Cricetulus griseus: one gene and its partners. The protein of the gene in region 7 binds, or shares a complex with, the protein of the main gene of each other region. Links are inferred from orthologs where the notes say so. Each region holds a gene or a part of one and is shown on either strand. Other genes may lie near its edges.

Region 1 (4,213 bases), on a different chromosome or scaffold from region 7:
CCTGCTATGTTCAAGTCCTAGTGGTCAAGATGCATGGTCAGCTGTGTGGTATACGCAGCCACGCGATCCAGGAAGCGATACTAGGTTTCGCCAGCCAGAGCCTGATGGATCGTATTAACTTGACAGAATCTAGAATCACCTAGTAAAACCTCGCGGGCATGCTTATGCAGGTGATTTCAGGACAGTGTAGCTGAGAAGGGAAAACCCACCCTAAATATAGGTGGCACCATCCCATTGCCTGGCTTTCTGAACAAAAAGGAGGGGGAAAAAAAGAAAGAAAGCAAACTAACATTCATCTCCTTAGACTTCCGGTCTGCGGATGCAGTGTGACTCCCCCCTTCTCCAGACGTCAGGCTTCCCCATGGTGGACTGTACCCCTCAAGCCGTATGCCAAAAGGAACCTCCTTCTCTTAAGTTGCCTCTTGTCAGGCCTTTGTTAAGTTTTCTTAATGTCTTAAGGTTCACTATTCTTCCAAGAGAGAATGTTTCATTTAGAAGAAAATAGGTAACCAATACTATTGTACTTATTAGAATCCATGCAGAGGTCAACACCCTAGGCACATAACACACACAGGTAATATCCATCTCTCACACACACCCCTAACCTAAAGGAGCTTATCACCTCGTTGATAGTGCTAAATCCAAGGGAAAGGGAATAAGCAGAACTTCCTTTCTGCCTAGGTGAACCATATCAAGAAGAAATCAAGATACGCTGGAATTCAATCAAACGTTAAGAAGCAACCTAAGAGACAACTGCTGTTTTCTTGGAACAGCCCAGAAGTCAGCTGTTCGTCGCTGAGCTAAAATGTAAATGAATTTGTGACTCCACCTCCCCTGTGTCGTTGTCGTTCTTCAGATACCAGTTAACTTTCACTGAGGGTATGCTATTCGTGTCATTGAAATCACAAATTTCTAGGAGGCAGCTGCTACTACCATTCAGCTTTATGGCGTTAAGTGGAGGATGTAGGGAGCTTGCCGAGGGTAACACTGTAAGTGCAAAATCCTATTCGACTGGCAGGGCGTGGTAGCCTACGCCCTTAATCCCCTCGCTCCGGCGGCAGAGGCAGGAGGATCTGAGTTCGAGGCCAGCCTGATCTACAGAACGAGTCCCAGGACAGCCAAGGCTACACAGAGAAACCCTTTTTCAAAACAACAACACCCATGGGAGGCCAAGGATGTAGCTCATTGACAGATCGCTTGCTTGAGTTTCACCCCTATCGTACATCCCCAACAGTCACCTCTGCACCCTCCAAGTTTGCAGCCTCTAACGAGAACCGGTCGGGAAGAGTTGTCCAGGGGGCCCCGCCCCAGCCCCATCCTCGCCCCGGAACTTCTGGGGAGCCCCGCCCCCTCATTTCCTTAGCCAGGGATCCGCCGCCCGTGCCGGGCTTCAGTCAAAAAGCGCAACTGCCGGAAGTGACGGCATCAGATGTGCGTCGGGCCTCGGCGGGGTCGAGTCCGGGAGCGGTGGCGGGTAGCTGCTGGCGGTTTGGCTGGCTGGCTGGCTGGCTCTCTCTCTGCGGTCGCGTCATTTTTTTCTCCGCAGCGCCCAGGTAACGGTCGTTCGGCTTTTTTCCCTCTGCTCCGAGGGCCTTGACCAAGGCGACCTGTGCGGCGGGCATCCCGGAGACTGCCGGCGGAGACGCGGGCGTGGGGCGCGCGGCCCGGCGGGGAACGGTCCCCCGCGCGCGCCGCGGCAGCTCGGCCGGCAAGTACCAGTCGCCGGGCCACCGCTTCGGCGGGGTCCTCCAAACCCAGCGCCGAGTGTGAGCCTCCCTGAGGGACTGGCACCGGGCGGCACCGCGCGCCTCGGCTGCTCCTCCCCCCCCCCATTAGAAGACGGGTTTTTACCCAGGCCTGGGGCCGCTCCCCCGTAAGGGTAGTTGTGTTAGGGAGCGGTTTGGAGACTCTTAAACTCATCTCGTCAGCAGCAGCCTGAGATTCGAGCACGACAGAGATCCCCGCTTGGTTTGCTCGCTCTCCCGTCTCTGGGCTCCGGTTAGCGGGTGGTTTTTCCCGAAACCCTGGGTTAGACTTTTCTGAGAAGAGACAGCAGTACTGGGTTAGGCAGGCGCGTGAAGACGGCAGAATTGTTTCTCAGATACTCAGTTTGATGGCTGCGTTTCCTAAAAGATGAAGACCCTGAAAAAACCGGCTAAGAATAAGTTAGTGTAGTGATTATTTTCGAGTTTGTGATACAAGTGAGGAAAGATGGTTTACATCGCCTGCAGGTGTGAGATGTGACCTCTGCGTAGCGTAGCCTTCTGCCAATTTCCGCCTTACATATAATCAGCCGGTTCGGTAAACTTGATTTGCACGAAATGATCTGGGTAAATCTCTGGTTATAATTACATCCAATCATCGTTATCTTTTTCGCTCAACTATAGCGGTGACCTCTGAAATTGAATTTTCTCAGATTTATCCCATCCCAGCAGAGAGGTGGTGGCGCACGCCTTTGATCCCAGCACTCGGGAGGCAGAGGCAAGCGGATCTCTGAGTTAGAGGCCAGCCTGATCTACAGAGCTACACAGAGAAACCGTTGCTCAAAAGATTAAAAAAAAGAAAGAAATCCCATTGCCTGTGTAATAACATCTTACACTCCGAATTATGTAACCCTCCTATAGTTGCTTGTCATCTCTTGTAGAGACTTTCCATACTAAGCCTGTCACTTACATACTGGATGCTCTATTATATTAGCCTTTGTCTTACTTTAACTTTTTGTGTGTGCTGATTCGTACATTTTTGTTCCTCATGCTAGATCCGTGTTAAATTGCTCCTGGCTTGTGAAAGATCTGGCCTCTCAAACGGTACGTAACTTTATGTATGTGAATGTTTTGCCTGTATGTCTGCTTGTATACCACATGCATACCTGGGGTCCATGGAAGACAGAGAGCACTGGTTGCCTGGGACTGGATTTACAGCTAGTTGTGAGCAGCCATGTGGGTGCTAGGAATCAAACCTAGGCCTTCTGAAAAACAACATTGCTCCTAACTGCTCTCCAGCCTCTTGACTTTAGTTTGCATTCTTTCTTCCATAGCATTCATTCATGGTTATGCACTGCATGCCAGGCCTAGTCCTAATTGAAAAGATTTGAAGACATGAATGCTGGTTTTAGTTTCTTGCATCTTGCCTTACTTAGTAAATAACTGTGATTTTAGTGCTTGCTAATTTTTTTACAGTTATTTGTATTTTTTTTTAATATTGACAAGGACTGTATCCTCTTCATCTTTATCTTTGTATCTGGAGCACTTCTGTTACAGAATAATAACATTTTCTGATGATATCAGAAAAAGTGTAATTTTCTTGTAAATTTAGTATCTCTTGTATGTCTAGTATCTCTCAGAAACAGGCATCTCTCTCTTTTTTTTTTTTTTTGGTTTTCGAGACAGGGTTTCTCTGTGTAAGCTTTGGAGCCTATCCTGGCACTCACTCTCAAACTCACAGAGATCTGCCTCTGCCTCCCGAGTGCTAGGATTAAAGGCATGCAGCACTAACACCCGGCCTTCTTTTTTTAAGATTTATTATGTATAGTGTTCTGTCTGCATGTATCCCTGCAGGCCAGAAGAGGGCACCAGATTTAGTCCCAGCACTTGGGAGTCAGAGAAAGGTGCATCTCAGTGATTTCAAAGGCCAGCCTGGTCTACAAAATGAGTTCCAGGACAGCCAGGACTACACAGAAAAACCCTGTCTTGAAAAACAAAAGGAAAAAGTGCTTCTCAGTAATGAGTTTGTAGGAGTATCTTTTGGGTCCTCTGTCCTCTCAAAGAGATTATGAAATTCTTTGATTGATTTAGTAACATCAGAAGAAGGCCTGTGTCAGCATATACTTAAAATGACCAGGGGTCGTGAGTATAAGACTTGTAAATTTTAGATGATAATAAATGTTTAGAATAAGATCTGATTGTTGGGCTGGGGAGATAGCTCAGTGGTTAAGAGGAGTTACTGCTATTATAGAGGACCTGGGTTTGGTTCCCAGCACCTAGATGGTAGGTAGCTCACAACTATCTGAAACTCCAGTTGTAGGGAATCCAATACTCCCTTTCTAACTTCTGCAGGCACTACACATGTGATGTGCATATATACATGCATACAAAATACTCATACACATAAAATGAAAACCTTTTTTTAAAAATGTAATAATATCTGTCCTGTACTTAACTATGTGTATATAGATTCACCCACTCCCGCTCCCCCCCTTCTCCCTCCCCCCCCC
Region 2 (2,677 bases), on a different chromosome or scaffold from region 7:
AGTTTGTTTTAAGTAGTTGGTTTGTCCAGAGTAAAATGAATTTTATAGAACAAATCCTGTTGCCTGTACTTTGGGGACATTAATGGAGTATGAAGTGGCCCATGTGTACACAACTAGGAGTAAGTTAGGAGCCAGATTTTTATGCCTATCAAACTGTACTTAACACCTATTTTTTTTATTTAAAGTAACCTTTATTATGTTAAGGTTATTAAATATGAAAATAGGGTAAAATGCAGAAAGGAATAATAGTATCTGTGTAAATCCTTCTGAATGTGACTTTGTAAGTGTGTGTACTTTTTTCTTTTTTACCTTGTAGCCCGGGCTGGCCTGGAGCTCACAGAGATCCATTTGCCTCTGCCTCCCTAGAGCTGGGACTAAAATTATGTGTAACCATGCCTGACTGAAAATAGTAAGATAGCCAGTAGCAGCAGTCTTGGACCCATAATTCCAGCACTTAAGAGGCTAGCACAGGCAGATCACTATGAGTTCACTTCTTATCTAGGGTGCATATCAAAATTTGCCTTAAAGAAAATAAAAACATAGGGTGCTAGAGAGATGGCTCAGTGGTTAAGAGCATTGGATGATGTTCCTGAGGTCTCAGATTGGATTCCCAGAGCCCATATGGTGACAGTTACTGGGGATCCAGCATCCTCTTTTGGCCTCCTTGGGCACAAGCTTGCACATGGTACACACACATACATGCAGGCAAAACACTCATGTACATAAAATAAATATACCTTAATAAATAAAATTTTGCCGGGCATTGGTGGCGCACGCCTTTAATCCCAGCACTTGGGAGGCAGAGGCAGGTGGATCTCTGTGAGTTCGAGGCCAGCCTGGTCTACAAGAGCTAGTTCCAGGACAGCTTCCAAAAGCCACAGAGGAACCCTGTCTTGTAAAACCAAATAAATAAATAAGTAAATAAATAAAATTTTAAAATTAACATTAAAAGGGTTAAAGGTCTTGAGGGGGGGGCTATAGCGTGGCGGGAGAGCACTTGCCTAGTGTGCATTAAGCTCAGTAAAGAACCTTGGAGAAGCCATGTGCTGTGCAGTGGGTGCCAGGCCTGCCCTGCTGCTTGCCTGCAGCTGCACTGCCCTTCTAGCTGGAGCCTCAGCTCTGCTTGTGTCTTCCTTGCAGAGCGCCAGTGGAACATGTGGATCCCAGGATTTGGCTCTGAGGAAATCCGACCCTACAAAAAAGCTTGCACCACAGAAGCTCACAAACAGGTCAGAAACCCAGGACAGCCAGGGCTGGTCCCTAGGACTGCACCTTGGAGTGGGCACAGGCAGCTGTGTTCCAGGAGTGTCAGTCACCTGTGCAGCCAGCTTCTCTGCACCAGAGGTCAGAGGTCAGAGGCAGCACAGTGATAGCTTCTATGGTGCTGATGCAGATGCACAGGGCTTCAGTTTTCCTCTCTGCCCCATGGGTTTCACTTAAAGCTCTTGATTCCAGATCTTTGGTGGGCACGCCCACCTGCTCCCACACCTTAGTGAAATGGCTGCCCTGGTGGGGAAAGGGAGCTGCATGTGAATACGGCAGGCACGGCTGGACAGAGCTGGTCTCTCAGTCTGTGAGATGGTGGCCACTGTGGCTGTCTCTCGACCCTGCATTCTGCTTCTGTGATGGAGACCATGCTGTTTGATGTTCCAGAGAGCTCCTGACTTGGAGCCCTGTTAACTGTTCATTTCTCTCCCCTTTCAGAGAATGGCATTGATCCGGAAAACAACCAAGAAATAACACAGGGGACAGTTAAGGAATGGACGACATGTATTTGGAGATACTTGAGCTGAGACCTCAGCCATCTCATCCTTGGATTTTTTTTTTAAATGCTTTACAGAGAAGCATATATTTTTTATTAACAGTGCAGCAATATCTATAATGACTGAGAAGATCTGCCAAAAGAATAAAGCCTCCTACCCCAACTTCTGGTCCCTTTTCCCTGCCGTCTCAAAGAGAAGCAGTGTATCTTCCGGAGAAGACTTTACCTGTGGTTTATCTTATAAATGATTGACTGTAGGCAGAGCGGTATGGTCATGCTGGGTGAGACAGTGTTAGCAGGTTTGTAGAGGGTTTGTCTCCTCCTTTCCCTTGTCCTGTACTTTGTAATGTCAGTGTTTATATGAATATGAACTTGATTTGCTTTTCCAGAATAAAGAACTTATAAATTGAAGACACAGGGTGCCTAGCTGAGGCCTTTGAAATGCCAGTCAGGATCAGCAAGGCTGGAGGGCTGCAGTCAGCAGGTGGCAGCACAGGGGCCCATCTGTGCATTTAAGAAACGGGTTTTTCCACTGGTTTACTCCAAAGGGACAAACCAGCAGTAGGAGTTGGAGTCCGGTTTCTCTGCTACCAGACAGGGTAAACTAGCCCCGAAATAAACAAGCATTCTAGTTCAGATAATGTTGGTATCCCTGGGACTTTTTTTTTCTTTTTGTGATTTGAGGCAGGCTTTCATGTAGCCCAGGCTGGCTTCAGACCTGATGTATTGTTGAGGCTATCCTTGAATCACCCTCCTGCCTCCACCTCTCAGTGTGCTGAGATTACAGGTGTGCATCATCACACTTGGCCTGCTAGAGCCCCTTTGGACCTCTTCTGGAATTCCATGGAAGATCAGATTCATCCTTGGCCATGAGGAGGGATGGGAATAGCTTTGGGGACAGTCCTGTTGCTGGGA
Region 3 (4,055 bases), on a different chromosome or scaffold from region 7:
CCCCCCTACTTTTTATTTTATTTTTTAAAGATATGGTCTCACTATAGAGATAGAACTCATGGATATCTTCCTGCCTCTGCTTCCAGAGGCTGGGATCATAGGCGTGCTCTCAACTCTTTTGTAATTTAAAAAATTTTACCTATTATTGTGTATGGAAACTAGAGGACAGCCTTATGGAATCATTTTTGTTGCCTTTCATCTTTTATACAGATCCCAGGCATTGAACCTGGTTCTTAGGCTTCCTACTAGAGCTTTCACTAGCTAAACCATCTCTCCGGCCCATCCTTTGTAATTAAAAAAAAAAAAAGTTACTATTAATTTTTTTAAAGTCGTGTGTATTAATGGGGGCAGGAGACATGGCGCTGTGGTTAAGATTCCAGAGACCTGTATTTGATTCCCAGCACCTACATAGCAGCTCATAATCTACACCCCAGTCCCTGGGAATCAGATGCCCTCTTCCGGCCTCTTTGGCTCTGCACACATGTGGTACACATACCGGCAAAACACCCACATACATAAAGATTATATTTTCAAGTGGGCGGTGGTGGCCTGCCTACACCTTAATCCCAGCACTCAGAAAGCAGAGGCAGGCAGATCTCTGTGAGTTCGAGGCCAGCCTGGTCTACAGAGCGAGTTCCAGGACAGGCTCCAAAGCTACACAGAGAAACCCTGTCTCAAAGAAAAAACAAACGAAACCAACAAAATCCACCATAAAGATTATATTTTAAAAACACGTGTGACTTGTGTACTTGAGTGCATCAGCTCTGGACGATAAAAACCCATCATTTTCCCCCGGAGCTGCAATTACAGTCGTTTATCTATAAATATCCATGTGTATGTACAAATTTATCACGTTTTCTGAGACGCGGGCTCATGTAGCCTAGGCTGCTCTCGAACTCGAGACCCTCTTGCCTCACCCTCCTAAGTCCAGGATAGCATACCATGCACGGCTTCATCATTATTATATTTATTATTATTATTATTATTATTATTATTATTATTATTATTATTATTATTATTATTTCTTTTTTGTTGTTTTCGAGACCGTAGCTTTAGAGTCTGTCCTGTGGCCCAGACTGACCTCGAACTCAGAGATGGGCTTGCCTCCGCCTCCCCAGCGCTGGGATTAAAGGGGAGACCCACTACCGCCGCCGGGCCGCGGCGCGGGGACTCTTCTCAATGTTTCACTCCTTCTTCAGGATTCCACTACCAGGAGCGCGTCACCGCTTTCGGCCAGTCTCGGAGCCCCGGGGAGGAGACGGAGAGCGCGTCCCTGCAGACGCAGCGCCCGCCCGGCCGGAAGTGACGCGCCGGATGTTATAAAAGCCGCTAGCGGCCGCGGCGGCTCTCAGAAGGCTGGCGGGCAGCTGGGATGGCAGATGAGGAGGAAGACCCCACTGTGAGTGAGCGCCTCTGTCACAGCCTGTTTCCTCGCTCCCTCGGGCTCACTAGCGGAGGCAGAGTCTGAACCTCGCGTCCCCTAGGGAATCCGCAGTGTTTTCCTCCTCCTCGGATTTACCTCAGTCGTGGGGCAGGACGGGAAGGAAGGGGGCTCCTTTCGATCTGGATCTGCCAGACACTTTGGAGACACCTAGAGGGTTATGGGAGATCAGAGCCAATAAATTCCACGGATCCCGCAGCCCAGCTAACAGAACTTGTGAAGATAGCGGGGAAACGATGAACTAAAGTCAGGAGTCTTCAAGTCCAAACTCTTGCTTTTTCTCTGAGGAAGTTATTTAACTTCAGACATGGGTTTTCTTGTCATGAGATAGGATCAGGCTCACTTAGGGAGTTTTTAGCTCTGTATTGATAAGTTCTTAGTAAATGATGATTCCGATGACAACTGAGAGTTATCAGGTCTTTTACCATGCCATTGCTTAGCAGTATGACCACTTAGTTGGCTGAAAACAAAACCCAGAACCCGAGGTCATTAGAGCTTTTACACACAAAGGTGTAGGGTTGTTAGGAGCAATGATAGAAGCCTTCCTGCATGACCTAAGAATTTGAGGCTAAGTTTTCATGATGTTGTGCTGTTCAGTTTAGCTTATCGCTATTGAAAATGAAAAAGGGTCACTCTCTGGGCTTGGTGGTGCACACCTTTAATGCCAGCACTCAGGAGGCTGGGGCAAGTGGATTTCTTAGTTCCAGGCAGATGGGTACATAGTGAGACCTTTAAAGTCTAGAGAGATTACTTTAGCGGTTAAGAGCAACCCAGTCACCTATAACTCCAGTGGATTGAACACCCTATTTTGGCCCCTGTGGTCACCAGCAGGCACGTGGTCAATGTAGGCACACACAATACACATGGTGTCTTTCAAAACAAAGGGTGAAAATGAAAGGGTCTGGGGATGTAGTTCAGTATCTGTTTAGAATCTTAGTTCCTAGATTCAATATAAGAGAACAGAAAGGACACTCAGTGGAATATCAAATGTAGTACAGTCATTTGACATGGCTTTATGTATTTTCAAATTTCTAGTTTGAGGAGGAAAATGAAGAAATTGGAGGAGGAGCAGAAGGTGGACAGGGGAAAAGAAAGAGACTTTTCTCCAAAGAATGTAAGTTGTATTTTGCAGTGCTTTTGTTATAGATGGTGAAAGCTTGAACATGTCCTTTTAAAGTAGACTTATTATTCTGCATATGTTTTCGTCTAGGGACAGTGTTCTCAGACTTGCCTGTGAAGTTGTCTGTTTTTATTGTTGTTTTGCTCATTTTTTAAAAAGATAGTCTCTCTATAGCACTGGCTACTTCGGTGCTCACTGTGTATCCCGAGCTAGCTTTAGATTGGTGGCAGTCCTCCTGCCTTAGGCTCTGAAGTACTGGCATTACAGGTGTGTACCCTTATGTGCAGCATAACTTTTCTGAATCACATATATTAATTCTGTATGTGGCACATAAAATGATGGATGTGATCATGATTGCTTTTTTTTTTTTTTTTTTTTTTTTTGAGACAAGGTTTCTCTGTGTGGCCCTGGCTGTCCTGGAACTTGCTCTCAGCTGCAAGATCTGACTAGGATTCTCTTTAAGTGTTGAGGTCTTGAAAGACAGGGAAGAGCTAAGGAGCTGTCACCAGTTGGATAGAGAAAACTACAGAGGTGTGAAAAGTGTCTAAAATTGAGGCCTAGGGAGTATAGCTCAGTGGTAAGGGCATGTGCCTAGCACCTGTGAACTCTGGTGGGGGGTGAGTAGAAACCAGAAATCTTAAAAGAAAATGCACCTAAGTAGAAAAATAAGTACACTCTGAATAAGGTACTTGTACTAATGTTGATTTCTTAGTTTTGATATTTGTTACATAAATGTTGTAAGTGGTAACGAGATACTGGGCATATGGAAACTCCTATTTTTATGACTCATCTATAAGCCTAAAACTGTCTTTTAAAAAGGCAAGTTTTAAAAATAGAATTCAAAGGGGCTGGAGAGATGGCTCAAAGGTTAAGAGCACCGACTGCTCATCCAGAAGTCCTGAGTTCAATTCCCAGCAACCACATGGTGGCTCACAACCATCTGTTATGAGATCTGGTGCCCTCTTCTGGTGTGCAGATATATATACATGGAAGCAGAATGTTGTATACATAATAAATAAAAATCTTTAAAAAATAGAATTCAAAAAGAAATAGAGAATATTGACTACTATATTTGTTTTCTTCCTTCTGTGTTGGGACCTAAAGTCTCTTGGCATTTTGAACACAAGGGATAACTGTACTCCAGGCTGGCTTCCAGGTCACCCCTTTCATTTCTTCTCTTTGTTGGCTCTGTCAGTTTTTGCTTCTAAATAGGAATTATTTTAAGGCTGAATATATGATACATATCTATAATTCCAATGCTGAGGAGGCTGAAGCAGAGGATTTATGAATTTGAGGCCATCCTGGGCAACACAGAGAAACACTATCTCAACCTCTTCCAAATAATTAATTAGATATTGATAATAGTAATAAAAATAAATAAATACACTGCAAAAGAATCCCAGCACTAAGGAAGGCTATTCTGGTCTACTTAGTGAGTTCCAGGTCAGCCAAAGCTACATAATGAGACTCTGTCCTTTATTTGTTTTATTTTAA
Region 4 (3,500 bases), on a different chromosome or scaffold from region 7:
GTTTTTAGAACTTCAGTGTACTTTTAGTTGCTCAGTCAACACCACTGGCTAAAGGTTCCTCAAGCTCTGTGTCCAGGAAAGAGCCAATAATCACCTTGCTCTTTATTCTTTTTTCTGTTAATGATGACACAGATCAGAATGAACCTTCATGCCTTGGATTTGTGTTTGAACCCTTCAACTCATACCTGAGCATGCAACAGTCTGTTCACTATCTTAAGAATGTCATTTATCTCTCCTGCTTCTACTATTTGCTACTACTTCCTAGTCTAGTCTTTTCCTCCGTCTTACCTACATGTTAGTCACACCTAATTTGTCCTCTGTTTTTGATGTCTGTCACTCCCCATTCTTTCTATCCATCATGTGGGATAATCTTACACAGACTCCAGTCCATAGTGCTGAAGTCTTCTGACTTCTGTGATGTGAATACAACTTTACTCAACTTCTTTTGTTTTCCACTTTACTCCTTACTTCCCAGACACATTATTTCATGTTCTTATATACTTCCTGTGTCTCAAGTCCTCCTCTTTGCCAATTAACTGTTGATCCTGGACCTTGGTACTCCTGGCAATATTCAAATCACTACATTATTCTTGAAGTCTTCCCCATTGACAGTGAGTCACCCCCTTCTGTTTTGAAATCCTGTAGCACTTTGTCTGTGTACTAATTGATTTCCCATATGCTTTACACATGTACTATTGTAGGCTATGAATTGACCCTATAGTTCTTTCAGCCTTTATCATCATATATTATATATTTAGTTAATATGTGCAAAAAGATGTGATCTGATCTTATAAGAACTCAGTCATGTAGGCAGGGCATGTTCATCAGCTCCTTTTGAAAGGCCAAGAAACAGACTCAAGGAGGTTGAGATCCTAAGGTCCATTACTCCGTAGGGCCAGAACTCTAGCTAAAGTACAGTTTCAGTTGTCTGAGCCAAATGAATTGCATTGCATCATGGCGCCCCTCCAAGGAGTACCTATGATGAAAGTTGTGTGCAGAGAACTAAAATTTGTTGCACAAGATTTTCTTCAAAGGGCTGGAAAGATGTCTTAACCAGTAAAATGCTTGCCATAAAAGTATGAGGACCCGAATGCAGTCCACCTAAACCCATGTCTCCCCGAATGGGTAAGATCCAGATTCAGTGAGACACTATCTCAGAAAGTAAGGTAGAAAGCCACTGACAAATAGAGATCATGAAAACTGATCTCTATTTTTGAGGAGCATGGGGTTGTTGGGAAAAGCATGAGAAGAGTGTAGAAATAGAAAGTCACTATTCTCTCAGGAAATAAATTTAGGAAGCTAGTCTCCTGTAACTACTTTTAAAAGAATGATGAACCCAGGATGGGAAAACCTGGGAGGACTCACTCCTTTTCTTCCTTCCAAGAAGTGGGGGTTGAATCCTAGATTCTGTTCATTAATCCCTGTTCCATTCTAATCATATCCTTTCTTCTTTTACCAGAGGAAGAAGAGGAGCAGGTGCCCACTGATGGAGGCACCTCAGCAGAAGCCATGCAAGTGCCCTTGGAAGAAGATGATGAGATGGAGGAGGAGGAAGTCATCAATGATGAGAATTTCTTGGGTAAAAGGCCACTGGACAGTCCTGAGGTGGAAGAAATGCCCACCATGAAGCGCCCTCGACTCCTGAGCACCAAAGGGGATTCCCTGGATGTTGTACTGTTAGAAGCACGAGAACCTCTCAGTTCCATAAATCCACAGAAGATCCCACCGATGCTTTCTCCTGTGCATGTCCAGGACAATACAGATCTGGCCCCTCCATCACCAGAGCCCCCGATGCTGGCTCCATTTGCAAAATCACAACTACCAACTGCAAAGCCATTAGAAACAAAGTCATTTACACCGAAAACAAAGACTAAAGCTAGCTCTCCAGGACAGAAGACTAAATCACCCAAAACTACCCTATCACCAGCAAGGCTTGGAAGTCCCATTCGGTCACCAAAAACCATCCCCAAAGAAAAGAAATCACCAGGACGTTCTAAGAGCCCCAAGAGTCCCAAGAGCCCCAAGATTATAACTCACACTCCCCAACCCCCTGCCAGACCTGAAACACCAAATAGAACCCCTTCAGCTATAGTGGTTGAAAAAACTGTTAAAGAAAGCATCCCAGTAAAGCCAACACAGACTCCCCCAGAAATCGGGAAACTGAACATGGAAATGCAGCCGAAAAAGGCTGTGGTGACAGACAAAACCATCGATGACTCCATCGATGCCGTAATCGCACGTGCCTGTGCAGAGCGGGAGCCAGATCCTTTCGAGTTTTCTTCCGGATCGGAATCCGAAGTAGACACTTTTACAAGCCCTAAGAGGATTTCCGGTTCAGAGTGCACCACTCCAAAAGCTTCCACTTCCTCCAATAACTTCACCAAGTCTGGGTCTACTCCTCTGCCTCTTTCTGGCGGAACTTCAAGTTCCGATAACTCGTGGACAATGGATGCCTCGATTGATGAGGTGGTACGGAAGGCAAAACTGGGAACCCCTTCCAACATGCCTCCCACCTTCCAGTATATCTCTTCTCCCTCCATTTCTCCTCCCACTCCCGAACCTCTGCACAAGGGGTATGAGGAGAAAGCTAAGCTGCCTTCATCTGTGGATGTAAAGAAGAAGTTGAAAAAAGAACTGAAGACTAAGTTGAAAAAGAAAGAAAAGCAGAGAGATAGGGAGAGGGAAAAAGAGAGAAACAAAGAAAGAAGCAAAGAGAAGGATAAAATGAGAGAGAGGGAGAAGGAAAAGGAATCTGCCAAGGAGGTCAGGTACCCATGGAAGGAATTTATGAAAGATGAAGATCCCGATCCCTATAAGTTTAAGATCAGAGAATTTGAAGACATTGATCCAAAAGTGCGATTGAAAGATGGGATAGTGAGAAAGGAGAAAGAGAAGCATAAGGACAAGAAGAAAGATCGAGAACGAAGCAAGCGAGATAAAGATAAGAGAGAAAGGGAAAAGATTAAAGAAAAAAGCAGAGAAGACAAGATAAAGGCCCCTCCAACACAGCTGGTATTACCTCCGAAAGAAATGGCACTACCTTTGTTCAGCCCTTCTGCAGCAGTGAGGGTCCCATCCATGCTGCCTGCCTTGTCACCAATGCTCCCGGAAAAACTGTTTGAGGAAAAAGAGAAGCCAAAGGAAAAAGAAAGGAAAAAGGACAAAAAGGAAAAGAAGAAGAAGAAAGAGAAGGAGAAGGAAAAGGAGAAGAAAGAGAGGGAGAGGGAGAAAGAGAAAAGGGAGAGAGAGAAGAGAGAAAAAGAGAAGGAGAAACACAAGCATGAAAAAGTAAGCTGGGTATCATTTTCGGCACTGTCTGAACAAGGTCCTAGTGCAAAATGCAGGTAAACAAAGCCAGGAGTTATATCTGTGGTTTGGATGTAAATCCAGGGGCAGTTAAGTGGCATTTCATGTGTAATGTGGTTACAAAGATCATTAGTTCTGTAACTAACCCCACACACATTGGATATTAAAAATACATAGCTTAGGAGGAATCTGAT
Region 5 (3,500 bases), on a different chromosome or scaffold from region 7:
GGCAGGGAGGGAGGCCTGGGGGTTGGGGTGTCTGCTGAGTGCTCATGGATTCCTTCGTGTTTTCCTTGATTTGCTTTTAGTTTAGAAAGTTAAGAGGAAAGAATCCTTTGAGCCCATCTTGGAGACCCCCTGAGTCCTTTTTGGGGAGCTCTGCTGGATCTTCTTTTGAGAGGCAGAATAGTGGCTCAGTTGGGAGTTTAAGCCCCCTTTTCTCACTTTTTCTTTTCCTTTTTTCTCCCCCCCTCCCCAGACATGGTTTCTCTGTATTGCTTTGGTGCCTGTTCTGGAACTTGCTCTATAGACCTGGCTGACTTCGAACTCACAGAGATCCTCCTGCCTCTGCCTCCTGAGTGCTGGGATTAAAGGCATGCGCCACCAATGCCCAGCCCTTTTCACACTGTTAACTTCGCTTTTCATGTTCAGTATCCAATGACCTACGCAGTGATTGGCTTTCTTGTCCCTAGGGTTCAATGTGGACACTCTTCCTGCATATGCTAAACGGTCTCAGAGAATGGTCATCACTGCACGTAAGTGGCTTTGAACCCAGGGACTTAGTAAGTATACAGTGATTATGGTGGGACTCGGTTGGAGAATAGGGCAGGCATCAGAGTGGCAGCTGTTGGCTCTTTGCAAGCTCCCTTCCAGTCTTTGGGGTGGGTTAGCTACCCACAGCCTGGTTTTATCTGGACAGGAGGATTCTAAGCTACTCTGAACCACTGCCCTTGTACTTTAACCCTGAAAAGCAAGCAACGATACAGGAAGACTATGAAAGTTCTTGCTCCTTTAGATCAGGGTTGGTAAATGTAGTCCAATGCTTGCTTTTGTAAATATAATTTTATTGGCATGCAGTTGTATTTATTTGTCTGTGATTGCTTTCATGTTATAAAGGCAGGGTTTTGTGGCTTGCATAATCTGAACTGCCACTGCTTACTGGCTACTCTTGTAATCCTAGCACTTGTGGGATACATAGGCAGGACTATGACTAAGAAACAAGCAAACAAAAGTCTAAAATATGTATCATGTATCCCCTTATGTAAAAAGTTTACTCTTTAGGATAACTAGGTCCCTTAAAGTAAGGAGTAACTGCTTTAGTCTTTAGGACTTGGGGGTACTGCTGTGTTTCTTTCTTTCTTTCTTTTTTAAAATTTTATTTATTTATTATGTATACAACATTCTGCTTCCATGTATATCTGCACACCAGAAGAGGCACCAGATCTCATAACAGATGGTTGTGAGCCACCATGTGGTTGCTGGGAATTGAACTCAGGACCTCTGGAAGAGCAGTCAGTGCTCTTAACCACTGAGCCATCTCTCCAGCCCCACTGTATTTGTTTCTTAAAGTCACTTTTTTGCATTGGCATCATGTTAGATATTAAATCTGTTTATTATGTGTGTGCACGCACATGCCATGGTGTGCATGTGGCCATCTAGAGGAAAAGTTGGTGGAAGCTGTCTCCCTCCACCATGTGGGTCCTGCAGATTGGCTTGGTGGCAAGTCTTTTCCCACTGAACCATCTGGCCACCTGCATTGGAGAGAAGCAGTGGAAGGTGCCATCTTCCTTCCCCTCCACAATTGTTAAGCCCACACTTCCCCCAGCTCAGTGTTTGTTATTTGGGGTCTCTGAGCAGCGTGTGTGTGCTGGGGATTGGACCCCAGGGCCTTGTGCATGCCAAGCATAGACTACACCAAACACTGCTCCTAGTGTCCTCACTCTCTGGGAAGAAGACTAACAGCCCGTTGAATGCGAGTATTGTACTTCAGCATGTTCAACTATGTAGTGACTTTGGTGACAGCCACTCTCCTGTTGATGCAAGGGGCTTACAGGCAGATGTCACAGATTGAAATATCAAGCAAGATGACCTGACAAGGCCGGGCATTGTATGCTGATCTGAAGAGGTTATGGATGGCTTTTTATCAATAGAAATACAAGGTGCTGAGTCATGGTGTAGTGGGAAGATAGGGGTGGGGCTGAAGAAGGACTATTGTCTGTAGACTTCAGGGGTTGAACAAGTAACCAGTTGTGATTCTGTTGCAGCTCCAGTGACTAATCAGCCAGTGACACCCAAGGCCCTCACTGCGGGGCAGAACCGGCCCCACCCACCACACATCCCCAGCCATTTTCCTGAGTTTCCGGATCCCCACACCTACATCAAAACTCCAGTGAGTGGTGGAGCCACCCAGGGGCTGTGAGTGATGTAAACCAGCTGAGGAAAGGTTGCAGATGAAAGTGCTTTCAGTTCTCTGACTTTCCCTAGAGAGCAGCAATCTTGTTATAGGGAATGATGGCTCAGTCCTGTAATCCCACCACTTGGAAGGCTGAGGCAGAAGGGTGGCCATGAGTGTGAGGCCAGCCTGGGCTACAGAGTGAGATGCTGTCTCTAAGAGAGACAGGACTCAGGGAAGGAATTGATACAGTTGCCCTGGACTTCAGTCCCTCAAAGTGTCCTGGGGTTGCTATGATAAGGTGCTACAAAGTAGCTGACTTAGAGCAATAGAAGTGTATTACTTTATAGGCCTGGGGGCCAAAAGTTGAAAATCAAGGTGTTATCAGGGCCATATTCCCTGTAAAGCCTGTAAGGGAATCGTGTTCACCTTGCCTTAGTGTGTCAACATTTCTCCAGCATTTCTTGGTTTATAGATGTGTCGCTCCAATCTTCCTGTCCCCTCCACGTGGTGCTGGCTTTCCACCTCTACAGATTAAATATTTTGTCTTCCCATAAGGACACCATTGTCCTTACTTCATGACTCTTCCTAATCAATGACATCTTGGTGACTCTGTTGACAAATAAAGTCATATGAGATGCCAGTAGTTAGCTTACTATATCTAAACATTTTTTTATGGGAATACAGATCAATTCATAGTATTCATACCTCTTATATGGTATGTTAAATCCTGACAATAAAAATAATGTAAGAAGCTTCTTTTACTGGTGTTTTTTGAGACAGAGTCGTAGACAGCTCAGGTTGGCCTCCAGCTCAGTATGTAGTTAAAAAGATGACTTCAGGCTTCAGGTCCTCCTGCCTCTACCTCTGAAGTGCTGGGATTACAAGTATGTATCATTACCCCTCCCCCCTCTTCCTCCCTCCTTCCCTTTTTAGACCAGACTGGCTTTGACCTCACTGAGATCTCCTACCTCTGCCTCTCAGGTGTTGAGATTAAGGGCATGGGCTAACAAGATGGTATTCTGTAATTCTTTTGTTTTTGAGACAGGATTTCTCTGTGTAGCTTTGTAGACCAGGCTGGCCTCAAACTCACAGGCTGGCTGCCATAGTCAACTATGTAGTAAATATTTGCACTTTTTTTTTTTCCCGAGACAGGGTTTCTCTGTGGCTTTGGAGGCTGTCCTGGAACTAGCTCTTGTAGACCAGGCTGGTCTCGAACTCACAGAGATCCACCTACCTCTGCCTCCCGAGTGCTGGGATTAAAGGCGTGCGTCACCAACGCCTGGCCGCACTTTTCTTAATGAGTATTCCTGTACTGAAATGAGCTCTTTCTTTT
Region 6 (4,076 bases), on a different chromosome or scaffold from region 7:
AAAAGAACAAGGAAGGAAAAGAAAACAGCCACGAAAGCGCTGCTGAACCAACACATTTTATACACTCTGACAAAGCATTCCAATCCCCCTTGTGAGCGACAAAGAGTGCCCCCCCCTCCCCAAGCCTTGCAGCCCCGGATTCAAGTGTCTAACAGATCTCAGAAAGTTGAACGCACCTCAGTTTCCTAACAAGCCTTTCCAAACCCTGATTTCTCACCGAGTTAAGTCCCGGGGGGGGGGGGGGGCGGGGGTGAGCATATGCCACTTGGACCAGCCAGCCCATCGAGAGTGACTACAAGGAATCTGACGTCAAATTTGAGCTTCAGGCACCAGAGAGGCTCAAAGCCTGAGCACCTCGTGCGCGATCCATGCAGGAGCAATTTTAAAAACAAACAAAAGCCGGGTCCCGCACAGCCCGGTGGAGCGTTCCAAGTTCCTGAGAGAAGGAAATGAGGCGAACCGGCTGGGGGGGGGGGTGCCGCGAGGCTCTGCGCGGCGTGGGAGTTCCTGCACGATATGAGAGGGATTCCGCGAACTCGGTCTGCTCTGAAGTGGCTTTTGTGAGAGGCGACAGCTGGCACCCACGGCGGGCGGGCGGGCGGGCGAGGGTGACGCCGCCGGGCTGTGCCGTGCCGTGCGGCGCGCGCGGGCTGCCACCGGGGCACTCCCCCATTCTCCGCAGCCGCAGCCGCAGCCGCGACGCGCGCGCGAGCCAGAGCCCGGCCGCCCGCGCGCGCCTCAGCCGAGAGCCGCCACCTCCCGCGGGAGCCCGCGCCGTCGGGGCTCCGCTCCGCGCCGCGCCGCGCGCGCACACTCACCTCAGCAGACTGGAGAGCGGGTGGCTGGAGGAGCCGAGGCCGCCGCCGCCCCCGGAGCGCGCCGCCGCCGGAGCCGGAGCCGCCGCCGCCGCCGAAGCCGGAGGAGAGCCGCTTCCCGGACAGCAGCTTCTCCACGGCCGGGAGGTGCCCGGTGCGGGCCGCCTCCAGCAGCTCCTGCTCCTTCCCCATCCCCAGGGCCGCCGCTCCTCCGACCCCCGCCCGGGGCCACGCAGAGCCCGCGGCGGCTCCCAAACTTTCCGTCTCCGGGCAACGCACCCCTCAACCCGGCCGGGGACGCCACCCCCTCTCCCCCGCCTCCTCCGCCGCCGCCGCCCCCTCCCCGCGGCGCGTCACTTCCGGGATCCGGCGTCACGCGTCACCGGCCCCGCCTCCTTGCCCACCTAGTGGGCGGGGCCCCGCGCCGGCGCGCAGGTGACGGCGCCCGGCGCCGTCCCCGCCCAGCGCGCGCGCCCGTGGCGCAGGTGGGAGATGCGCGCTCGTGCGGCTCCCGCGCTGCGGGACACAGGGGAAACTTGGTAGCGCGCGCGCCAAGACTCGTAGGTGAACTTGGGAACAGGCGCGGAGACCCGGAGGCAGCCGCGGGAACGGCGCCCCCGGGCGGGAGGACCGCAGTTGGGCCGGAGCGGCGGCGGCTCCGCTGTAGCCCCTCCGCTGGCCTCCCAGGGCGCCGTGCGCAGGCGTGCATGCAGCCGAAGCCCCGTACGCGGGCGAGCGGGGACGAATCCGCAGCCGCTTCCGCGCCGGGCTCAGAAGAGGGGCCACGTGTGACCCCAGGCGGCCCGCGGGCTCTGCAGTCCAGGGCGGCAGTGCGGCTTTGACGCCGGCAAGCCCGGGGCTCACTGCCTTGTCACCCCGAGTCAGGTCGAGGAGGGACTGACGGGCAGGGCGTTTCCATAAAGGACGAGAGAAACAAGTCTCTCAGCCAACGAACGTACGCTCGTCCACAGCCGCTCCTTCCCTGAAGCTGCGGACGCGCGCTCTTAAGTTTCTTTCTCGTCACAACAAATGCTGCCTAAGTGGCTCCCCAGGGCCAGCCGCGCGCTTCTGGAACGGACCCCTCCGAGGCGCCGTGGGTGACGTCATCGAGGCGCGACGACAAGCCGTCAGCCCGGGTTCCACGGTAGGGCCGGTCGTCTCGCTCCCCTCCCGCCGCGATGGACAACCCTGCGGAGTCGCCCTCGGACAGAGGCGGAGAGCCGGCGGAGTCGGAGGAGACGAGGGCTGCTCCTGGAGTCCCGGCGGCCGCCGGCCCCGAGGGGGGCCCGGAGGAGACCGACGGAGATGCAGAGGCGAGCCGGAGAGCGGCGGCCGAGAGCGAGGTGGGCGCGCGCCTGCTGCAGCCCTGCGGGCCGGGGCCGGGGCCGGGGCGAGGACGGGCACGGGCGGTGCACCGAGCCCCAGCCTTGCACGCTAAGCCCCAGGGGTCCCGGGGCCTCGTTAAAACCGCCGGCTGTGCCTCTCCAAAGGCCAAGCGTCGTTGCCTCCTCGACCCTCAGCGTCCTTTTCTGCAGGCAAAAAATGTCGGAGTTTGAGAGCTGGGGCTGGCTTTGAAAGATCACGGGGTGAACAGTAGCTAAGGTGGAAATGGGCTTTCTAACCGTAACTGCCTCAAAATGCCTGACGTAATAACTTTCAGGAAGAAGAAAATGTAGCAAAACTTTATAGGATTTTGCTTTTTGTCTTTATGAGGGGCGTCTCCCTAACACGGCCTGGCCCTGAGCTTGTGACCCTCCTGTCACAGATGAGCAGCAAAACTGTTTTCAGAACCGGGCGTTGGTGGCGCACGCCTTTAGTCCCAGCACTCGGGAGACAGAGGCAGGCGGATCTCTGAGTTCGAGGCCAGCCTGGTCTCCAGAGTGAGTTCCAGGATAGGCTCCAAAGCTACACAGAGAAACCCTGTCTCGAACCCCCCACCGCCACCGCCAAAAAATAAAAAAATAAAAAAACCTTTTCAGAAAAAAATTTAAGCTGAAGTAGACAAAATACATTACAAGGCTTAATGAGCTACAAAATGAGACCTGCTTCTATCCCAGCTCGAGAGAGAGAGAGAGAGAGAGAGAGAGAGAGAGAGAGAGAGAGAGAGAGAGAGAGAGAGAGAGACAGACAGACAGACATCGAGAGGGGGGAAGAGGAGAAAGGAGGAAAGTTAAGGGCAAATAAATTTGAAAATTTGAGGCACACAGGTTAGAAAATGTGTATAGATCAGTAGCTAAAAAGAAGTTGAAAGGATTGGCAAATACATAATGCCTTCACTCTCCCTCTCCCAATTTCTGAATGAGTTTAAATATGAATCTCTTTCTAAAGGAACCATTAAATCTCACAAGTGAGTTTTGATGTATTATGATTCCATAATAAGCTTGTCATGACATACACCTGTTAGGAGTAACTTTTGAGTGCTTATTTGGAGAGAAATGTAAATAATAAACATCTTCAAACAGATTTTATAGTAGGGCAGGCAAAACGGCTCAGCAGGTAAAGGTGCTTGCCACGAAACCCTGGGAACTGGAATTCAATCCCCGAAACCTACATAAAGATACAAGAGAACCAACTCCACACTTGCAAGTCTACACACAGTATGCATGAATGCACCTAATAATTTTAAATTTGGGCTTTTAAAAATTGTTATTGTATGGATGTTTTGCCTTTGTGTATGGATGTTTGCCATGTATGTGCCTGGTCCCTGTGGAAGTCAGGAGGCATCAGATCCCCTGAAACGAGTTACAGATGACTGTGAGGTGTCATGTGAGTGCTGGTCATCAAACCTGGCTCCTGCAAGAGCAGCCAATGCTCTTTCTTAACCTCCGAGCCATCGCTCAGTTTCAATTTAAACTCAGTATGGTGGCAATCCCAGCAAAGAGGTTGAGGCAGGACAATTTCCACAATCTGGAGACTGGGGAGTGTTGGACCACCAGTCTAAGCTACAAAATGAGATGTCTTAAATTACAAAAGAAAAAAAGTTTCCAAACTGGGAGTGGCAGCAGAGGCCTTTAATCCCAACAGTTGGGAGGCAGAGGTAGGTGGATTTCTAGGAGGTCAGCCTGGAGGACAGCCAAATTTTAAAAAAAGGTTTCTAGTCTAGTAATGGGAGAGGTAGTATCTTATGATCCAGTAGAGGAAGGGTCAGAACACAGCACAGGGTGGTGCTCCCAAGACGCAGATGCTGCTGGATGGATAACTTTGCTGACACCTGTAGGGTGAGGGTGGGGGAGTGGCGATTTGGCTCCTTGGTGTTTTCCC
Region 7 (4,059 bases):
CCCTCCCTACTTGCTTCTCCTTCAGTTCATCTTTAAAGCAATGCTATCACCTAACAACTTGGTTTGTCCTTTATTCTTTCCTTATTGTTAATTTTGTTTTGGACACAGGAGCTCACTATCTAGCTCAGGCACTTCTAATTCCAGCTTCCTGCTTCTCTCTTCTTTTTTTAAAATTTTATATTATTTTTGGTTTTTTGAGACAAGGTTTCTCTGAGTTAACAGTCCTGGCTGTCCTGGACTTACAGACCAGGTTGGCTTTGAAGTCACAGATCTGCCTGCCTCTGCCTCCCCAGTGCTGGGATTGAAGGCATGCACCACATCTGGCTTCCACTTCTGCATTTCAAGCACTGGGATTATACACACATATATATATATTATGCATTTTGGTGACTAGTGACAACTTGTCTTGTCTTACTTTTGGGAACAAGATTTCTGTAGCCTAGTCTCAAACATGGTAACAAGATAGCCTTGACTCTGGATCCTTCTGCCTTTACCCTCCTAAGGCTGGGATTATAGACATGCACCTCCATACCTAGTTTTGTGGTGCTGAAGGTGGAACTCAGGGCTTTGTGTCTGCTAGGCAAATACTCTTAACTGAGCTACATCTCCACACCAGTTTTGTTCTTGTTGTTTTTCTTTTTGTTGTTGTTTTTTTTTTTTTTTTTCTGTGTAGCTCTGGCTGACCTGAACTTGCTCTGTAAACCAGGCTGGCCTCAAATCCAGAGATCCACCTGCCTCTGCCTCCTGGGTGCTGGGATTAAAGGTGTGTAGGGCCTCTTGTAGTCCAGGCTAACTTGTACTCTATAAATAGCTGAGATTGGAATTTAACTCCTGATACTGATATCTATACCTCCCAGGTGCTGGGACTATAGGCATGTGTCACCACATCCAGCACAACTCATTCCACTCTGGACCCTTGAATCAAATCCACCAGGCAAGGGCTGGAGGATGTGGCTCAATGGTAGAGTACTTGGCATGAACAAGACCTACGTTTGATTCAAAATGAACCAGGCAGCCCAACCTGACCCTTTTTGGCCTACATGACCATCACCTGTCACCTGCTGAACTCTAAAAGCCCCTGGACAAGGTGTTCCTGTTTCCATCTGAGCTTCCCTGTATTTACTCCTGAAAACCAAAGTACTGCTGTCCAAATGTACAATAGACTACCATTTCTTTGCTGTAATGGTTCCCCTTTTGCCATATAACCCTTCCAAAGCCCTCCCTTCAAAATGTCTCCTGTCCAGGTGTTGGGGTTAACACTTCTAATTTCAATGGACTGCCTTGAGTAGGACACCAGAATATGCTTCAGAGTGAGACCCTACATAGTGCACACTTGGAATGCCAGTACTCTGGAGGCTGAAGGAGGGAGACAGCAAATTTGGGGCCAGCCTGGACTATGCAGTAAGTTCCTGTCTAAAGTGGCTTTTTTCCTTTTCAATTTTCTCTCATCATATCTCTGATCACCCATCATTCCTTCTCTCACTTTACTCTGTCACATCATTCTCCTTTAAATCTGACAGACATACACTTGGTTTCAGAGCTTTTGCTGTTGTCTTCCCAAATGAGTTTAGCTACATGACCCCACCTCACCCCTTTCTTTAGGGACAAGGTCTCATGTAGCCCAGACTGGCCTCAAATTCACTATGTAGACAACACTGACCTTATCTCCTAGTCCTTTGGCCTCCACCTCCCAAGTGCTGGGATTACAGGCAAGTGCCACCATGCCCAGCTTTACTTCTTTGCCATATTTTCTTCATATATATATATGTACGTATATACACACATCATCTCTCTCTAGATTAAATCCAGGGCCTTCTACATGGTAAACAACCCCTCTACAACTGGGTCTCAGCAAGTTACTGAGGCTTGTCTGGAACTCACTCTGTAGCCTAGAAATTGAGATCCTTCTGCCTTTGCAGCTGTGCAGCACTAAGTCTAGCTATCACTTCTTGTTTATCATCCTGACCTCACCAGTGGACAGGAATATGTCTGTTATGTTCACTGACCTAACTGGTACCTAGATTGGTACCCAGGACACTGTTAAAACAAAAGAATTTTAAGTCTTAAGGGTGTAAATGTTCTATAAATACTTGGTATAACAATTACCAAAATGAAAAAGACACAGACTCAAGCTTAGCGTTTACTCTGTGGTCAAAAGGAAAGGAGCTTGCCTGACACTGGACATAAGGAAGATCAACCTCAAGAGTGTTCGGAACTGAGTGCTAGAGAGACTGGGGGAAAGAGGCCAAAGGGCACTGGTTCTTTTCAAGCCATCCCAGGTCTTCTCAGACTTTTGTTAAATCTTGTCTACAAGGAATACAATTACTCAGACATACTCTGTACCTGGTGTCAGGTATACAAGAAGTAGTCGTGACCCAGTCCCCTGCGGTACCCTCTGTCACTAAGGGTTCATAAAACACTCTTAACAGCCTCAGGAGCGTCTCAGTGGAAGCGACAGGAAGACTTCTCAGAGGGCAGACAGCTTGAGCTAGATCTGTGCACCATTTTCCTCAGAGAGAACTGATTCGAAGATTTCCCCGGGCAGCGCTACAGGAGGTTCACAATCCACTCCATCTCCCCAACCTCCTTCCAGTGCAAACACGCAGAGTCCCCACGAGCGCGGACACACAACCAACCGTCCTCTTCCCAGTTCTCACATGGGCCCTTTCAAAAGGGTCTCCTCCCGGATACACCTCAGACCTTCCCCCGCCAGCCAAGCACTGGGAGCAGTAAAAGCCTCTCACCGCTGCCAAAGCGCCGCTCACCCGGCGCTCGGCGCCATCTTGGCCCCGCCCCCTGGCAGGAGTAGGTCCTGGCAGAAGCCAAGTGCTTATCACTGCTCTTCCCTACATCAAAATAGATCATCTAGTATTACAGTCTTAAATTATATAAAAATTACATTCTACGTATATGTGTAAGGGTCATATTATTATATTCTAATAACTTCAATCTGTGTCTTCACTACTCAGCTGCCAGGACCTACAGGAGGCGCCACAAAATTAAGGCGGGGAAGCCCAGAGCCATGACGCTCCACCCGCTTTCGGGCTAGCTCTGAGCATGCGCTGCCCGTTCCACGATGGCTTTTTTTTTTTTTTTTTTTTTTTTTTTAAGCTTGTGGCCAGCTGCGTCTAAATTTAAAGGGCCCGCTGCCTTCCAGAAGTTAGTCCGAAGGGAAACGGTGGTTGTATGCGTGGACTGCGTTTTGTCATGGGACCTGAGAGGCTGGAAATACTGCTTTTCATCCTGGCAGCGTACAGTGCTTGGGCTGGGACGACGAAAAAGGAGGAAGATGACACAGAACGTTTGCCCAGCAAATGCGAAGGTATAGAAAAGTAGCTGTTCTTATTTGCATCTGTCTATTCCACCTCCTGCCTCTCTAACTCTAGGCTGGATCAAAGAGTCACTCGACCGTCTCGAAAGAGGTTCTTTTGGAGTTTGGTAACTTTTGAATGGGACTACGGGAGGGAATCAGGGTTAGGTTGACACTACATTTCCCAGGAGGCATCCAGAAGGAGCCAGGTTTTTCTTGCAGGCTCTAGCCCCAGTGGATTGTGGGAATTGTAGTTCAACAACCAGTAAAGTTGCTCCAACCGAGCATCTTCCTTAGTTCGTTTCCCGCCTTGTTAACCAGACCTAAATCTGGACCGTCTGCATGGGTGGGGTGAAAGGTTCAGACCTTCTAGACATCCTGTGCCTCGCCCTGGCAAAGACGCTCTCAAATTACAGGCCTGATGACCCCCTTCAGGGGTTTAAAGATGAGTAAGTCAGTACCTGAAGCTCATAAACAAGTTAGAGGAGACATCACACCACTTAGAAGTTGCCCATGGGTGTGAGGCTTTGTAGTTGGGGTGTACTGTAGGGATTTTACAGCAAGCAGCATGGTCTCTGACTGTATTAGTAGTCAGGAGCCAGGTCACTGAATACTACAGAGTTCCCTGGTTTGTTGTCTCTCTCCCTGACATTAACTTTTTCTTTAGATTCTTCTCTTCACCTTACACCCAACTGCATTTTATTATCATTGTTCCTCATTACTTGATTCTAATTTTGTAGCACAAATAA

What was found.
Region 1: Taf6 (region 7) and Tbp share a complex: the UniProt entries of both Homo sapiens proteins name them as parts of the TFIID basal transcription factor complex. The link is inferred for Cricetulus griseus from reciprocal best matches to the Homo sapiens genes TAF6 and TBP.
Region 2: Taf6 (region 7) and Taf12 share a complex: the UniProt entries of both Homo sapiens proteins name them as parts of the TFIID basal transcription factor complex. The link is inferred for Cricetulus griseus from reciprocal best matches to the Homo sapiens genes TAF6 and TAF12.
Region 3: Taf6 (region 7) and Taf13 share a complex: the UniProt entries of both Homo sapiens proteins name them as parts of the TFIID basal transcription factor complex. The link is inferred for Cricetulus griseus from reciprocal best matches to the Homo sapiens genes TAF6 and TAF13.
Region 4: Taf6 (region 7) and Taf3 share a complex: the UniProt entries of both Homo sapiens proteins name them as parts of the TFIID basal transcription factor complex. The link is inferred for Cricetulus griseus from reciprocal best matches to the Homo sapiens genes TAF6 and TAF3.
Region 5: Taf6 (region 7) and Taf8 share a complex: the UniProt entries of both Homo sapiens proteins name them as parts of the TFIID basal transcription factor complex. The link is inferred for Cricetulus griseus from reciprocal best matches to the Homo sapiens genes TAF6 and TAF8.
Region 6: Taf6 (region 7) and Taf11 share a complex: the UniProt entries of both Homo sapiens proteins name them as parts of the TFIID basal transcription factor complex. The link is inferred for Cricetulus griseus from reciprocal best matches to the Homo sapiens genes TAF6 and TAF11.

What each region holds. Positions count from the first base shown.
Region 1 is NC_048595.1:294,441,117-294,445,329, forward strand, and holds the start of Tbp (TATA-box-binding protein), read left to right. Parts: upstream 1-1,413; 5' UTR 1,414-1,553; intron 1,554-2,758; 5' UTR 2,759-2,807; intron 2,808-4,213. UniProt on the Homo sapiens protein: The TFIID basal transcription factor complex plays a major role in the initiation of RNA polymerase II (Pol II)-dependent transcription.
Region 2 is NC_048595.1:20,962,370-20,965,046, reverse strand, and holds the end of Taf12 (transcription initiation factor TFIID subunit 12), read left to right. Parts: intron 1-1,140; coding exon 1,141-1,229; intron 1,230-1,704; coding exon 1,705-1,740; 3' UTR 1,741-2,177; downstream 2,178-2,677. UniProt on the Homo sapiens protein: The TFIID basal transcription factor complex plays a major role in the initiation of RNA polymerase II (Pol II)-dependent transcription.
Region 3 is NW_023276806.1:48,546,490-48,550,544, reverse strand, and holds the start of Taf13 (transcription initiation factor TFIID subunit 13), read left to right. Parts: upstream 1-1,255; 5' UTR 1,256-1,372; coding exon 1,373-1,399; intron 1,400-2,476; coding exon 2,477-2,555; intron 2,556-4,055. UniProt on the Homo sapiens protein: The TFIID basal transcription factor complex plays a major role in the initiation of RNA polymerase II (Pol II)-dependent transcription.
Region 4 is NC_048596.1:226,857,191-226,860,690, reverse strand, and holds part of Taf3 (transcription initiation factor TFIID subunit 3), read left to right. Parts: intron 1-1,459; coding exon 1,460-3,288; coding exon of another isoform or gene 3,289-3,344; intron 3,345-3,500. UniProt on the Homo sapiens protein: The TFIID basal transcription factor complex plays a major role in the initiation of RNA polymerase II (Pol II)-dependent transcription.
Region 5 is NW_023276806.1:256,850,711-256,854,210, reverse strand, and holds part of Taf8 (transcription initiation factor TFIID subunit 8), read left to right. Parts: intron 1-464; coding exon 465-527; intron 528-2,036; coding exon 2,037-2,161; intron 2,162-3,500. UniProt on the Homo sapiens protein: The TFIID basal transcription factor complex plays a major role in the initiation of RNA polymerase II (Pol II)-dependent transcription.
Region 6 is NW_023276806.1:233,027,501-233,031,576, reverse strand, and holds the start of Taf11 (transcription initiation factor TFIID subunit 11), read left to right. Parts: upstream 1-1,276; 5' UTR 1,277-1,993; coding exon 1,994-2,158; intron 2,159-4,076. UniProt on the Homo sapiens protein: The TFIID basal transcription factor complex plays a major role in the initiation of RNA polymerase II (Pol II)-dependent transcription.
Region 7 is NC_048597.1:116,864,033-116,868,091, reverse strand, and holds the start of Taf6 (transcription initiation factor TFIID subunit 6), read right to left. Parts: upstream 2,801-4,059; 5' UTR 2,660-2,800; coding exon 2,658-2,659; exon of another isoform or gene 2,344-2,657; intron 1-2,343. Other genes in the region: Cnpy4 (protein canopy homolog 4), read left to right, coding at 3,187-3,322. UniProt on the Homo sapiens protein: The TFIID basal transcription factor complex plays a major role in the initiation of RNA polymerase II (Pol II)-dependent transcription.